Linked DNA regions of Rhinolophus ferrumequinum. The protein of the gene in region 1 interacts with the protein of each later gene in a biochemical or structural test. Links are inferred from orthologs where the notes say so. Each region holds a gene or a part of one and is shown in the gene's direction. Other genes may lie near its edges.

Region 1 (8,186 bases):
TGGGTAGATTCCAGCTCCACGTTTCAAATTCGGCTTAGTTAAGAGTATGATCCGGCCATTAAAAGGCTCTTGGCAGCCCCGAAACTCACATTCTGACGATCCTGCCTGACTGACCTTCCCACTTCCCGTCCGTTTTCTGCTTGCTGTCCTCTGCCAGTCAGCGACCTAGCTCTTTTTCATCCCCGGGAAGCTCACGGCTCGGAATGAAAACGTGCGCATCCTGATGCCACCCTTTGATTTATTTAAAATCCGGAGTTGTAAGGCAGAGTCAAGGGATGGGAGTAGGTGAGAGCCGCAGCGGATACCTGCAATGGGTTGCAAACGCCATGATACGGAGTTTTTCCTCCCGGCCTGTGCAAATAACGTTGCGAAACGTGGAAAGAGAGCAAACAAAAAGAGCGCTTCCCTGCGCTGGAGATGACGGGGATCGAACCCGGGGCCTCATACATGCAAAGCATGCGCTCTACCACTGAGCTACATCCCCACTGGTATAAGGTTGGCTCCCTGCATTCTGTTAGCAGTTTACTGGGGCAGGGTGCAGGGAGGTGGACACTATCGGTCAGGTGCAACAACCCCGAGGATGCAAAACCCCTCGGCAGCCAAACAAGGAGTTCCAGGGTCCTCTACTGAGTGACTGCAGGTGAGAGGACCTTGACCGAGAGACTCCCGGGAGAGGACAAAGCAGGGATGAAAACCTGGAGGCAGCGGTGGAAAAAGGGGAGGTCTTTTGACGAGGTGCTCAAAATGAACTATAAACCGAAAAAAAGACTGTGAAGGACACTACTTTTGTAAAACAAAAAGAACGGGGAGTGTAGTAAATATGAATAATATTTGTATTATAATTCAGAATCATTATGTTACAAATAATCATTTACAATTATTTGTAAAATAATTCAGGATTATTTGAGATGAGGAGGGGACTGGTGTGCAGGCTATCGGCAGACTTTTCAATGTGAACCGCCCTGTATATCTGAATTTTGAGCTACCTCCAAATAAATTCAATCCAAGAAAAGTTTACAGAGCGCCTATTAGGTACCTAGAACTGCTCTAGAAAACGGAGTCTAACGGTGAACAAAATGAACATAGCCCATCCTCTCTAACAGCTCGTGTTCCAGAGGAGTTAGAGTGCTGGAGCATTGAGAGAGAGAATGTAGTAAGGTGTGATTTAAACAGTGTGGTCCTGGCAGGCTTCACTGAGAAAGGTGATATTTAAAACAAGACTTGAAGGAGGTGGGAAGTGAACCATACATGTATCTGGGAGAAGAGAGGTCCAACTAAAGGGAACAACCAGTTCAAAGGTAGGATCTTTCTGACATGTTGCAGAACAGCAAGGAGTTCCACGTAGCAGGAGGGGAGTCAACAGTTGGGAGTGGTAGGAGATGAGAGTTGAGAGGCCGGGTGCAGGGATGGGGAAGAATGTGTAGAGCTTTTGGACAATAGTAAAGACTCTGACTTTTACTCTGAGAGAGGTGAGAGCCACTGGAGGGTTTGAGCAGAGGAGGGCCATGATTTGACTTAAACATAATTGTTGTCACAACTGAGTGGAGAAGATAGGGGAGTGGGGCAAAAGGGGAGAGACTGTTGCCTACTGGAGATGGTGCAGTGGAGGAGGTGAGAGGGTGTGGACATGCTGAGGACTGGTGGTAGGTTGTGTGCAATTTTTTCCTCTTGGCGTTACAGAGGAGTCCCCAGTTTTGACCTGAGCACCTGGAGGGATGGAGTTGCTGTTAAATAGGATGGGATGAGGAAGGCTGTAGGAGGAGCATGTGGTGGGGCAGATCAGAAGTACAGCTGTGGACACAGTGACGCCCCTTAGCACACGCAGGTGGAGATGCAACCTGGAGTTGGATGTGGGATCCAGGCATCTTAGGGGGACGTGGGCTGGGGTTGTGTATTGTGGTGGCAGCAGGGAGAGGGTCATTCAGGCCCAGAAAGTGTAAGAGATTACAAGGGAGTGAATACAGACAGAGGTTCAAGGACTGAGCCAGGTCAGGGAGAGGAGATGGAGGTAGCAGGTCATGGCGCTAGCTGGGAGAGCCTGGGAGGCGCTAAGAAGGTGTGAGGAAGGAGGAAGCACTGTTTGGCTTGGGATTTCTTGAAAGTTTTTTTCTTTGCTTCCCTCCCTTCCTGCCAAACCTCCAGGAGTCTGTTTGCTATACATTTACTATGTATACCAGTTTCAGTGGTTCTGTTTACTCCAGACCGTATGCATAACCTGGCTCAAAGACTTGAAAGAAGTTTTTACATCATCCGAAGACCCCTCCTATCCCTGAAACAAACCAGCCTCTGGGAAGTGCCTTTTTCAAGAATTGCCTGATCAATTCGCCTTTCCTTTGTTTGGCCTGTCCTTACATGCCTATAAAACCTTTGGCGGTATTAAGAGAGGGCAGGCAGTCTTTGTGATAAGAGTCCACTGTCTTCCCTTAACTGGCATTTTGGAATAAACTTGTTTTTTCCAACCTCGCCTTTCGAGTTTTGGCTTTCGTGGGGCGAGCAACCGGACCTTTAACACGGTAGCAAGAAGGGGCCTTTGCCTTTGGGTTAGGATCGCGGAGGTCACTGGTGACTTTGATAAGAGCGATTTCTGAGGAGGGTACGGGCGAAAGCTTGACCCCAGTGGCCTCCAGAGGGCATGAGAGAGGGTGTGGAAGCAAATGATACTGGAGGGACAATAGAGGGTTGGGTTTTTTCGGGGGGATAACACCTAGTAAAGTGGGAAATTTTATTGTAAATGTATTACTTGTTAAACAAAAATTAAAGAATAAACAAGGGGGGAGGGGACAGCAAAAAAGGTAGGCACAGAGGTGGATATAAGGCCACACTTTGGGGAGGCAAGAGCCAGGTTCCAGATTCCAAATTTAGCTCAGCACAGGGCGGGGACAAACCCGCACTCCGGTAACCTGACACTGTGGTCCGGGTGCCAGGCCCTAGCCTGGGCCGTGCGGGGTCAGCGTAGGGCGCCATTCAGGAGTGGCGCCCAGCTGGGCGTGTGCACCCACCTGTCCCGGCTTGTTTCCTACAGCTGACTGAGTCAGGCTGGGGCGGTCTGGAGGGGCTGAGCGAGGAGGGAGGCGGAGAGAGGGCCTTATGGGGCCGAGGAGGCTGCGGGCCAAGGCCGGGGACTGAGGGGTCCTGAGTGGGGGGACGCAAGCTCGCACTAAGACCACCTCGCTGCGCCTCCTGGCCCGCAGGCGCGCCCTCGGGGTGGGTTTTCCAGCTGGGCGCGCCCCTAGCGGCGGTGTCGCCCGCCAGCGCCAGCCGCGCCCATCCCCCCAGTGGGCGGCGGGAGGCCCGCCCTGGCCGCGGCGCTCTCAGCCGCGTACTATCTGGTCCCAGTTCTCCCAAGCACCGCCCGATTTGCGTGCGCTGAGGGCGCGCATGGCGGCAGTGGGGCCGCGGAGCGGCCCGGGCGCCGGGGCCGAGGCGCTGGCATTGGCGGCGGAGCTGCAAGGCGAGGCGACGTGCTCTATCTGCCTGGAACTCTTCCGTGACCCCGTGTCCGTCGAGTGCGGCCACAGCTTTTGCCGCGCATGCATCGCGCGCTGCTGGGAGCGCCCGGGCGCGGGGTCTACCGCCGGCCCCCGCGTGCTGCTCTGCCCGCTCCCGTGTCCGCAGTGCCGTGAGCCTGCGCGGCCCGGCCAGCTGCGGCCCAACCGCCAGCTGGCCGCAGTCGCCGCTTTACTGCGGCGCTTCAGCCTGCCGGCGGCCGCGCGAAACGAACGCGATTCCCCAGAGGCGGTGGCGGCCGGGTGCGCGCAGCACGGCGAACCGCTCAAGCTCTACTGCCAGGACGACGGACGTGCCATTTGTGTGGTGTGCGACCGCGCCCGCGAGCACCGTGCGCACGCTGTGTTGCCGCTCGAGGAGGCAGTGCAGGAGGCTAAGGTGAGCGTCTGGCCCCACTCCTGCCAGCCCCCGCGAGCCCCGGTCCCGGTCCTGGTCCTGCCGTCCGCCCACTCAGTGCGGACGACAGGCAGGAGGCCCAGGTATTAAGAGAGGGCAGGCAGTGCCTCCTTTCTCCTATCCCATGCTGCCCAACACTGGCTCTGGGACCGAGCGTGGCTCTCCCTCTGTCACCCCCACACCAATAGTACCCCCCAACCCCCCTCACATTTTCCTCTGTGCCTCATACTGGAACGCCTGCGCAATGACCGCCAGATTTGGCGATTGTCTTTCAGTCCATTCCCGGCCTCTAGCGGCATTTTGGGCACACCCACACAACCGCTGTCCCCACTCTAGGCTCTTTACTTAAGTGAGACGACTTTTCCCAAGAGATCCGGCAAGGATGGGTGGCGCCAGGGTTGAGTAGAGCGCGGAGAGAGCCGTCTGGGCTGTGTCAAAGCTGCTAATTCCGGGCTCGTTTCTTTCCTGTCTCCTTGTTGGGGCCTCAGCTGAGATGTGCACGGAGGCCTCGGGCACACAGTTCCCAGTCTTTGTTTTCTTTGCTCCTTACACTGATCCAACCCTTCCACACAGAGGGATTTCTAGTGGAGAGGAGAGCAGGAAGGACAAGGCGTTGGGCTGCTGGGGCCGGGGAGGGTCTTGTGTTTCAGCCAGAATGTGCGCAGATGGTCTTGGAGAAGTGAGACTCAGGGGCGTTTGGCGTCACCCAGAAGTTGCCCTGTCCCCTATGTGCAGTCTGCTCAGACAGTATCCATCCCATCCAGACCTCCTCTATGAGGGCCTTCCTTTCTCCTGGATCCTCGCCTCACAATTCTCCCTTCTCACCCTCCTCTAGGAACTCCTGGAGTCCAGGCTGAAGATCTTGAAGAAGGATCTGGAGGACTATGAGATGTTTCGTTCCACGGAAGAGAAGGAGAGCAAGGAGCTCCTGGTGAGCCCGGTACCCCCAGGTGCCTCCCCAGAGCCACCCCACAACAACAGAGGGCCGGCTTCCCACCACCCTGGCTGTTTTTGATGTGTGTTGGAGTGTGTGCCTGTGAAACAGTAGAGATGGACTTTAGAACGATAACAGGGTTCATATTATATAGGGTGACCGTACACTTTATTCTATAGCCAAAGCTTTGGAGAGTGAAAAGGAGTGCTAAAATAATCGTTCTAGAATAGCTGGCTTAACTGGAACCGTCCCAGTGAATCAGGATGTATAGTTACCTTAATGTTACATAACACCCCAATGAAGGCCTGTGGTAGCATCTTGTATTTGAACGCATTAATGTTTCTGTAGAGACGTGAATGTTCATACTAAGTGGAGACATAAATACAGTAAAATAGCCTCATGTTTGTCCAGGGCATGTTTTGCCACCAAAAGAGTTATGAAAAAACCTTTTTTCAATTTTAAAGGTTTTAAAGTTTTGAAATTGAGGCTAAGTGGCAGGCGGCTCAGTGGCTGTCAGCTGCTTCTGGTCTAGCTAAAGGTCCAGTTAAACGAAGATTTGCGGACAGGTTTCCAGCAGCCTTGTGTGCATAGCGCCCCCTGGTGGGTAGGGACGATATTTTTGTCGTCTTTACAATGGAACAGGAAAGTGAACTGGGGCTCATTTTGGTTAGGGCGGGCAAACCTGGGTCACGGTCTGTAATTTTCTACCTCTCAAATAAAGTTCTTAGCTCAGTAAATTGGTCTTAAAAGAATGAAAGGATTTACTAGAGCCTGTTAGGACAGGGCCCATTCAATTCTGGATTTGGGAATTGGAGGAAGAGGAACTTGAGGACCCTCCTAGCCTCACGGTGGGTAGGGGGTGGTGTGGAGGGGAAGACCCTGGATTCAGATGCCCCAGGGTCCTTTCCTGACCCTCAGTTGCATCTGGTGCACCTGCCTCCAGTGTGCATCCAGCTTTCCCATCTGATCATTCACTTCCCTCCACAAGGAAGGGCCCAGCCCTCCTCTACTGGAGACAAGAGTGTGTGACTCTTCCATCTGGGACCCAGAGGAACTTCCACAGTGAGGGCAGCTTCCGGTCTCTGACCCCACCCACCATGACACTGCCTAGCACTTTCCTCTCTTTCCTCTGCCAATCCACCACCCCTCTGGCCCTCACATTCTTTAGAATTACAAAATACCTGCTTAATGAAACAACAGAGGTAGAGGACTCTTGCTGCATAACAAGGAAAGTAAATGCTTTTATTTGAAAATGCTCTTAGCATTTAGAGGAGTGGTTCTCAACGGGGCAGTTTGCCCCCCAGGGGACATTTAGCAAAGTCTGGAGATATTTTTCATTGTCTGGGGGCAGTGTGCTACTGGTATTTAGTGGAAGAGGCCAGGGTGCTGATTAAGCATCCTACAGCACAGCCCTCCATAACAAAGAATTGTGTGGTCTCAAATGTCAATAGCACCAGGGTTACCCCGATTTAGAGTATTTTGGCTAATATTGTTCCACTTGCTATTTCTTTGGGAGGCCATATGGTATAGTTGCAAGAAGTTCAGACTCTGGTGTCAGACTCTGGGGTTAGAATACTGGCTTTCCACTTACTGGTCACATGCCTCTATCCCCTCATTTGTTAAGTGGGATGAGAGTACACCCACGCCATTGGGTTGTTGTCAGAGGTGAGTGAGTTAACACCTGTAAAAGCCCTATGCTGCTGCTGCCTGCTTGCCCAGTGTCCAGGTGATGAAGGTCCTGGGGGAGCCATGGCCTGAACCCAGGTCTCCTGATTTCAAAACCCATCCACAGTCTCCTCTTCCTTGGAGTTTTTCAGGGAAGAGGAACTGATAGTAGAGCTTGTGCTGGAGGAACAGAATCCTTCTCACTTCTCACTGGCCATGAGGGAGAGGTCTTGCTTGTTATGTCATGTACAGCCCCCCCACATGTTCATGTAAAGAGTCAGGAGCATGAGTCTGTGTCTGAAAACACACGAGTGTAAATCCTGTGGATAATGGTAATGGAAAGAATAGAATATGAAGCCTGCACACAGCATATTCTCACTTGGGTCATTGTGGGTGTGCTGTTACCTCTGGTCACTGGCATTGATCTTCCTTTCTCTTCCTACTTTTCTGCATCTTCCAGATTTTATATTACCAGCATGTGTTACCTTCGTAATTGCTAAACATAAATGGTGCTTTTTAAAATGAAGTAAAGTGAGGTGTGAAAGTTGGAGGGCTGACGAATGTTATGAAACAAAATTGACCTGAGTACATTTAAAGATCTCACTGGCTTTATTCAGTGATTGATGAATTGCGCAGCATCTAATCTAGCAGATAGAAAGGAGCTCTGTCCTTTATAGGCAGAGACTTTATAAGCAGTGGGAGGTAACGAGGAAATTGTACAAGGCAAAAAAACAGGTTGGTTGTTGCAAGGTTACTTTCCATATAGGGGATGGCAGAGGCTTATCAGGCAGATTACTGAACAAAGGCGATCCCCGATTAGCTGGTTTAAGACTCCATTTCTGGGAGAACAAAACTGGAATGAAGTCTGGTGATGTGGGGCTTATCATAAATGAGTATTTTGTCTATTTTCTTGTGTTTAACATGGAATATATGTATTTGGGGAAGAAAAAGTGACCTCAGTTTAATCCTTATAGTTGCCCCAGGAAGCACTAATTTATCCCTCCTGCTTGCAAATGAGAACACTGTAGCCCTCAGTAGTTCTGGGGTGAGTTTGACATTATCCTATGTTGGTGGGAGAGCCCAGGTGTAAGGAGACACACGGGCACATCTGTGTCAGGTAAAGGGAGAGCATGTGTTGAGCCTGCTGCGTGCTTAGAGTTGGGATATTTAAATTAGAGTGTGTACGGGGTGGGCACATCTGGGTAAGCCTCTGACCCCTGAGCAGTGAGCCTACCCTGTGGGATGGCTCAGAGGCCCCTGTCCAAATGCAAACCTTGATGCCCACGTCCCCTAACCTCTCCAACTTCTCTCCTGGGACAGAAACAGATGGCAGCTGAACGAGAGAAGGTGGGGGCGGAATTCCAGGCGCTGAGGGCCTTTCTGGTGGAGCAGGAGGGCCGGCTTCTGGGCCGCCTGGAGGAGCTGTCCCGGGAGGTGACACAGAAGCAGAATGAGAACCTGGCTCAGCTTGGGAGTGAGATCGCCCAGCTCTCCAAGCTCAGCAGCCAGATCAAGGAGACAGCTCGCAAGCCTGACCTTGACTTTCTTCAGGTGAGTCTGGCTCCCCAGGGCTTTGAGTCATTTATCATAAGGCCTGGTAAAGGCACTGAGAACAGTCAGATCCTGTGAAGGGAGCTGGAGAGCTGCCCTCATTCTCCCGGGGTTAGAGGTCTAAAGGAATGGA
Region 2 (8,186 bases), about 2.8 Mb from region 1:
GGCTTGTATCTTGTCAATAATCACCTCAGGTATAACTTTTGTCTTCCCCTACCACACAACACCCAAAAACATGACGGATAAGCCAGGGCCTTGGACCTTTTCCTAATTCACTGCCCAGCCGCGTGACTTCAGGTGGCAGAGAAGAGAGGGAGCTGCTTGCTCTAAATCAGAAAGAGAATCTGATGTTAATAGAATATCATCGACATAATGAAACAAGGCCACAGAGGACGGGTGATCCCACTGTGCCAAATCCTGGGCCACGAGCCCGTGGCAGATAGTGGGGCTGTGCAAGTATCCTTGCGGAAGGACTTGAAAAGTCCACTGCCACCCGTCCCAAGTAAAAGCAAACTGCTCTTGACACTCAGGTGCAATGTCAATGGAGAAAACAGCATTGGCCAAGTCCACTGCATAGTGATATGTCCCCAGGCGGACAGTCAGACAATCCATTAAATCATGTATTGAAGGTACTGCCGCGTGCAAGGGTGGCATCACCTTATTTAACTCCCTATAGTCCACAGTCATTCGCCAGGTCCCATCTGGCTTCTTGACAGGCCATACTGGGGAGTTAAAGGGACTGTGCGTTGGCCTCACAATATGTGCCTTCTCCAATTCCAATATTATAGACCAATCTCCTCCTGTCCTCCTGACAGGTGGTACTGTCACACTGTAACCACGCGCCACGGCTGTGGCAACACTTGAGGAGGGTGGTGAGCATGTCCATGTGTCACGGATTTCACCACCCGGATCTGGAGACAGAACTCTCCTACCGACATCTGTAAGCTGAGGCCATGTAGCATGTCCACCCCTAGAATATACTCCGGAACGGGGGAGACATACACCTTGTAGGTACGAGGGGGAAGCCTTCCTATACCCAGTGGTAAGGAAACAGCTTTCACAGTCACAGTCTTTCCCCCGTACCCATCAATGCAGATTGCTGGTCCGGGGAAGAGTTCTGGGTTCCCATAAGCAAGACTTCAGTCTGCGCCAGTGTCAACAAGTGCCAAAACCCTCTGCACATTAGAAGGGGACCAATGTATGGACAGTTCCACGTGGGGCCTCTGGTCCCTGCTGTCCCCTCTGACCGGGTACCTTGGCCCCAGCCCTAATCAAGCTGAAAGGAGTCGGCCTCAAGTGGCCGCATGAAGTCCTGGAGGGACACGGGTCGCGCTTTCCCAGACTTCTCCTTTAGGCTTCTCTGGAATTGCTGTTCGCGATGCAACTGTTTCCAAAGTTCCAGCAGGAGTTTATTGTGTTGTCGGTCTATTTTCTCCTGATCGACCCCTGCTGCCACAAGATCATGCCACATCTGTGCGCGTGTTGCTCTCTGAGGCCCGCGACCTCACCCCTTTACTTTTGATTTGGGCTTCCAGGTCTCAACTGCGCGGACGTCCTGTCTTAACTTCCTTCGCCTCTGGCTTTCAACATACTCTAGGGTGACCATGGCAGTTGTAACTTCATGGATCCGTCACCCCACATAGAGCGTAAGAATGGCAACTAAGGATCCAAAGGCACTCGCAGGTACAGTATCCAAAACCAGATCTTTCATGCTGGCTGTAAAGAGCTCGTCATCAGGTCCCTGCATAATAGGGTTGAAAATAGCATGTCTCATACCCATTTCATGGATGATTTGCGTAAGTTCCATATATGACTGCCATTGACTCACAGTGTCTGGCAGCTCGCCAGCCTGTCCCCATACTGTGCGTACAGCAGCAATGAGTCACTCCATTAGAGTGGTTGCCCTGGTCTTGGGCCAACCTATGGCAGTTCTGTAACCTTTGTCGCAGGGACAGATGCACTGTCACAAAGGCTAGCTTTTCCATCTCTCCTGGGGAGCAGAGAATGTTGTCTGCTCCCTCATCCCATAAACGTAGTAGCGGAGACTGGCTCTCCAGGGCGCTGTCTGTACCGCCTCCCCAGCTCCTGCAACTCAGTGGGAGTGTAAGGGGTGTAGGTTGTGAACTCAGTCACAGCTGGGTTGCCGGCGGGGCCCAAAGGTTGCTCATGCTTTACCTTTTGTTTCAAGATTGGCTGGGCTTGGGGGTTAGGAGCTGTATTGTCTCCACTCGCCTCCTCCGCCTCTGCCTCACAGTCTCCACTGTGGGGCCCCTCTTCTAACAGGGGGACCCGAGCTTCCAGCGCCTCCAACTGGGAGACCTGGTCCGGCACCTGGGCTATTTCATTAGGCGCATTTTCCGTGTTGAGACTCAAGGCGGTGAGGAACATCCAGCCCACGCGGCCGGCTGTAGCCTTCTCCTCCTCCGGCAACTGCTCAGCCAGAGCCTGCAGGGCCCTCTCCACCCTGGCTGGAGAGCCATCCATGTCTTCCCACCCCTCCTTGGGGGTCCAACTCCTGAGAACAGTGGCCACTGGGCACCACACACTGTGTGGGGGCCACACGTCCTCCTGCCCAGAGTCAGACTCCATTCCTACCTGGTTGGAATCCTGCTCACCGTGCCAGAGGTCTGAGTGGGTGGTGGCCTCGGTGTATAATGTCCACAACCCTCGGAGCCTACAGCAGAAGCAGATCAACAAAAAGAGGACAACACCTTCCATGGCCAAGAGGGAAGTGCGCCATCTGGACGCTCGAGTCTCCCAGGCAGATCGCTCCCGGTGTCACTCCTCGCCGGCCTCCCGAAGCTGAACTTTTGTACGCATAAACTGCTCCACCATCCTCCGGTGAGTTTTGCCCAGCACCATACCCTGCTGTGCCATTTGTCATGCGGGGTCTCTGGTCCCGCTCCCCACATAAGAACATAGGATATGGTGAGGCCAAAAAGGAACACCCACAGAGCCATAGGTAGGGGAGTCATACCACTATATTCTCGCTGGCGGCTGGATTCACACGACCTGCGACCTGCTGTCTGCTTTTCTGCCAACCGACCGACGACTCAACTCTCCACCACAGCTGCGACACTTATATCAGTGGCCAATTGGCTAACCGGCCACAGCTGACGGCCAACTAGCCACAGCCAACTGCCATCTAGTACCCGAGCCAGCACCTTTCCACGTGAGGCTGAGAGCCTGGAAACTGCTCTCTGGGGCTCTGTTCCCACAGCAGTCTAAAAAGATGAGGTAATAGCCTCTTGTCAATCCCAGACGTCAATCAAGTGGACCTATGCCCGGAAAGGAACATCCCATTTGAGAGAAAAAGAGATCAAAACCACCAAGGTCTGGTTAGCCGGGGCCATTGAGCCATTCTCTGCTGCTCTGGTCGCTTCTATTTCTTTGGAGTGTACTGTCTTTTCTAATAAACTACTCTTTCACCACTTTATTTCCGTGTCTGGTTCAATTCTTTGCTGGAGAAGCCAAGAACCTAGACTTCGCGCCAAGAAGGGCCCACTCTCCGGTAATAGTTGCGGCTGAGAGCTCTTGGAAGGCGGGGGTGAAATCACAGGGCGTGCTGGGGAGCTCTGCAGAGGAGGAAAGCCTTACCTAATGTCAGCCGGATTTCGAAGAAGGAAAAGACTGCCAGGCAGCTTCTGTCCTCTGGACAGCTCCCAGCGATCCCGCGCACAAAAGCAGTCCTCCCGTCACGCAGGGAATGCCCGCGTGGTGGGGACTGGGGACACTTCTCTCCAAGGCCCTGCCCCCTCTCTGCACGGACACCCGGGTGCAGGACCCGAGATAAAGCAGGTGCTGGCCTGTATCAATCCCGCCCAAGGTGGCGGCATCGCTTCCTGGGGTGGTCCTTCCTAAACGCCCACGTCGGCCAAAGCCGCTCCTGTGTCCATTTCCATTTTGTTTCAGAAAATAGAAAAGACAAGGTCTGCAATCAAATCCCAGCGGCAGGTGTGAGTCAAGTACAGGCGACCACAGCAGCGGAGATGGGACAGGGCCGCGCAGCCGGCTCTGAGAGGCAGCAGCGTGCCCTGTGATGGAGGCGCAGGCTGCGGAACATGTGAATTGCGTTCCAGCCTCAGCGCCACACGGACGCGCGGCCACGCGGGAGAGCACAGCCGCTCCCGGGGCTCCAGAACTGCATGGTCCTAAGGGGCAGACTGCAGGTGCCCAGGGGTCCGGGACCCCGCCGCCGCCAGAGCGGAGCCGCTCCCGCTCTACGATCGGTGTGATCTCCCCTCCCCAAGTGTGCGCTGTATATATTTCTCTTATTTTCATTTCCTATCTAAGCCCAGAAATTAAAGTATCTTAAGGGGTGTTCAACCCAGTAGCAGTGGAGGAGATACAGAAAACACATAGATCTGAAAACACAAGACTAAGGAGATTTTATGACAAGAATTTTCTATATTCTATGTTTATATTCCTATTTATATATTTACATGAGAGGTGGTCTGGACCTGAGAAGGGAGAGCTGTGGGGCGGGGGGAGGGATGTCGGAGGGGTATGGCGGGCAGCCGGCCTGACGCCGACATACCCCAGACACCCCAGGTCCGTCCGCGGCTTTTTCTAAAATCCCCCTTGGGACTCCACAGCAGCCGCACTCCTGCATTACACGCCTATCAGGAAGTCAGGAGTACACCCAAAGATGCGTGAAAACATTATGGCACAAATGAGCATAAATCCCAACAAGTTCCAGACTCAGACACCTAACCGAGCGGCCAAGCAAAGACAGTAGAATAAAGGAAGCTTTGGAAAGCTCCGGAAGGAGCTTCAGCCAATCGATTTGTCGTGGGGGGCGGGCTGGATTGAATTTGAACCAATTCAGACGGGCCATTCAGATAAATACCAGAGGCTGCAGTTTGTGGCTGGTCTGACGCCGACGGCCTGAGACTGCGCTTGAGCGGGCCTACTGGGAAGGGGAAGCCCCTGTCCCCACCCCGAGCGTCCCTGTACCAAGGTACTCCTGCTCTCCGGTACTCCTGCGCTCCCATACTCCTTTATCCAGCACCCCTGCAATCCCGGTCCCCGCGCCCGTACAGCCGGGGACGCTTGCACTGCTGCCGCCCTGAAGTCCCACCGCCTGTGCTGTCCTCCCTACGCCTTGTGCGCCCGCCTAGCCGGACCCCAGCGCCAGACCCGCCTGGAGGACTGCGGTCACCCCCTGTATACCTTCCCCACCAGGCGATCTGGTACTACAGCACAGCATTGAAGTATACAGGTGGTACCAAAAATATGTATACACATTTTAAGAAAGGAAAAAAATTATTAAAACTGTAATACTCAATATATACTGATAACAAAAGATGAATACAAGTCACGTTTGACTTCTGCAATTACAAGAGGTGCTCAGAGTGTTTACCATCAATCAGCGTTTAGACACATCTGATTACTGCAAACTACCACTTGAGCAACTGTTGACCAAAATGTCCACTTGTATACATTTTTTGACACCCTCCTCCCCCTGTATTTATATTATGCTATTCATACAATGGTTGAATTACTACTCACTCTTAGTGGCTCAAGGCTCACTACCATCACAGGTCTGTGTGAGGCCCCTCTTGTTTACATCCATACATGTATATATGTATCTGTATCCCCAAATGTGTTTTCCTGTGATGCCCATTTTTTCTGACTCTGACCTTCCACTTGGCAACCATTCTATTTTGTTTACTACATTGTTTTGGGGTGAATTCTGACAAAATGTGTATTCTTCAGTGTTCATACTGCACACTTAATTTACATAAGTCCCATGCTAGACATGCTGCTTTCTTCATTCTGCCCAGTTCTTCAGCTCCACCCACACTTCTGTGGGTATAGAGTGCATTACTTCCTGTTCTGTAGTTCCTCAGTGGAGGCCACACATTTCCTCTCTTCACTTCTGGCTGTTGGACCCTGAGATTGCTCCCAACTTTGATCTCCTGCCGGTGCCCACATTTTGTGCTGAAAAACCTCAGACATTTGTAAGAATTAGGTTATTTATGGAACCGGCAATTAACAGTAAATACGTTTAGGTACTAGATCATAGAGTCTAGAGATATAGGGTATAGGCTTTTAACTTCAATTGCTTTGGTTGTCACATAGCTTATAGTCAAAGATTAAGAAAGTATGTTAGCCACTTATAGTCAAAGATTATAAAGTATGTTAGTCATGTCCTGAAGGCCTGCCTGTAAAGGTTCAGGAGAAGTGTGTGAAAGTACATGTTGCTTGAGACAATAGAAAGATGTAGCTAGTAAGGCACAAAATGATAGCTTAAACAATAACGATGGTCATGAGATGCTTAGTTTCTGCTTTTTGTTTTAAAGATAACCTCACTGACTGCACTGATGAGATGTTTTGCAGAACTTGGCTTCAACCCAGCCAGATAACCTGACCACAGTGAGGAAGTCACCAGAGATTGCAGGCACTAAATTAATCAGCCGGAGGAAAACCACTGAAGCTTCCATAAGAACTAACTAATTTACCCTTGACCTCTAACCCTAATTTCAGCCTTTAAAAATCCCTCAAAATACTGATCGAAAAAAAATGCATGAGAAGTAGTTTTCAGTGTAGAAAGGAAAATGGTTTGATATTGAACTGGCCAATCCAGAGCCGGGGAGTTTATGCTCTAAAGACCTGACTCCCTGATGGCGTGTAGGTTACAGATTGTGTGGTGCAAAATCACACAAGATAAAAAAATCACAATATACCATGGATTGGAGGTTGGGTTGTACTGAGAGGTAAGGGTAATGCATCATTTCTTATAAATAATCCAGGTCTTGAGGACAGTCCTGAAGTCTTTCCCGGAGTCCCTCTTTCTGGTCTCATAGGAAAGCAGCCAGGGTGTTGTTCCGCCTTAGGGCTCAGGAGCTGAAACATAACTTAGGTGAAGATGTTATCTTATCTTGCCAGAAGTCCAGACTTTGTGACCTTTGGTCAGGTCCTGGCTACTGTCTTCCGCTGCCTTGGGGTTTATGATTATCAAGGTGTTGCCATAAAAAGAAAAAATGGTTCTTGGTGTATGCCACAGGAAAGAATTCAAGAAGGCACCTAATAAGCCAAACAAGCAGCTTTATTAAAAGGATAGTACACTTTCAAGGTGAAGAGAGCAGGCAGGTCTGGAGAAGAGCAGCTGCTCCAAAGAACAATGAGACTTGGGAATTTATCTCACTAAAAATGAAGGTGCGAAATATTCCAGAGTTAGGGGTGGCCTTATAGACATTCCTAGGTGGGTCCTTGCTGACCACTCCTTCCCATGGAGGAGGAATTTTTGTCCTTATTTGGCTCGGTCGGACATGTCCTGGTGACACAGGGGGGTGGAGATTTTCACTAACCACAATGCTAATCATATTATAATCCATATAATTAGCTAAAGTTCATCTTGAGGGGCAAGATGGCCTCCTGGATCTGCTCTTGAAATCTAATCTAGTTCTGGCCAGTCTGGTAGCTGCACTTTTTCTTAGGGAGAATCTCATCTCCCTCTTTTGTCTCCCTCACCTCCTCCTTGCCTTCCTCGCCAGGTCCTATTCTTTCTGCCTATGGTAACAAAGAAAAAGGCTAGGTCTCTGAGAGGTGTAGAGAGAAAGAGGGATATGATTTCTAAAGCTAGTCACAAATCAAATCAAAATTGCGAGGACCCTTGGTTTCAGTAAGTTGTACTTTTTCGTCCTATTTCTGCCTAAGAGAAATGAAAATTAATTACTTTCCTTTTCCAGGCGCCGGATATGAAATGTCCAAGGAATCAGACCTTCATCTAAACACATCTAAACATATCGTTAATAATTTCCCTATACACATAGCCGACAGTCTCTTTCCCATTCCTTTCTGTACACCCTGGTTTGTGAGAACAGAACTTAAAATAGGGTAAACCAAAATGCAATAAAACACACATGAAATACACAAGGTAATTGTGGGATTGCAATTTCCTGTAATAAAAACTGTTAGGAAGGAAAAAAAACGTTTTCCTCTACCCATTTCAGGCTCACTGACTGGGGCCCCATAAATTAGACTGGCAAACAGATTAACAAGAGAAACACAGTGTATTAATGTGTGCAGCATACATCATCACCTGGGAGAAACCTCAGCAATGTTACTCAAAGGGGTGTTTAGAACTTGGGTTTATCTAGCATCTTAACGTAGAATACATTTGTAGAGAAGTAACAGAAAGGAAACAAATTTTAGGTTTCCAAGGGTGGCAAGCCATGGGAAGGTAAATATTTGGGGGGAAGCTAATGGAAGATAGGGCTATTAGTGCAGGTCCACCTTGGCACCATCTTTCCTCTTCTTCATGGCCATAAAACTTTCCTGGAAGAAGGGCTTTACAGCAGTTCTCATTTCTCAGAGTTTCTGCATTTAGTCAGGTGGGGGAAGCA

The links.
Region 2: the proteins of TRIM7 (region 1) and RNF187 interact in a test that uses a peptide from one of them, tested with the Homo sapiens proteins (2 studies listed by BioGRID, with this or other methods). The link is inferred for Rhinolophus ferrumequinum from reciprocal best matches to the Homo sapiens genes TRIM7 and RNF187.

Annotation. Positions count from the first base shown.
Region 1 is NC_046307.1:4,161,741-4,169,926, reverse strand, and holds the start of TRIM7 (E3 ubiquitin-protein ligase TRIM7), read left to right. Parts: upstream 1-3,169; 5' UTR 3,170-3,378; coding exon 3,379-3,885; intron 3,886-4,738; coding exon 4,739-4,834; intron 4,835-7,822; coding exon 7,823-8,053; intron 8,054-8,186. UniProt on the Homo sapiens protein: E3 ubiquitin-protein ligase that have both tumor-promoting and tumor-suppressing activities and functions in several biological processes including innate immunity, regulation of ferroptosis as well as cell proliferation and migration.
Region 2 is NC_046307.1:1,321,779-1,329,964, reverse strand, and holds the start of RNF187 (E3 ubiquitin-protein ligase RNF187), read left to right. Parts: upstream 1-4,341; coding exon 4,342-4,386; intron 4,387-4,843; coding exon 4,844-5,027; intron 5,028-8,186.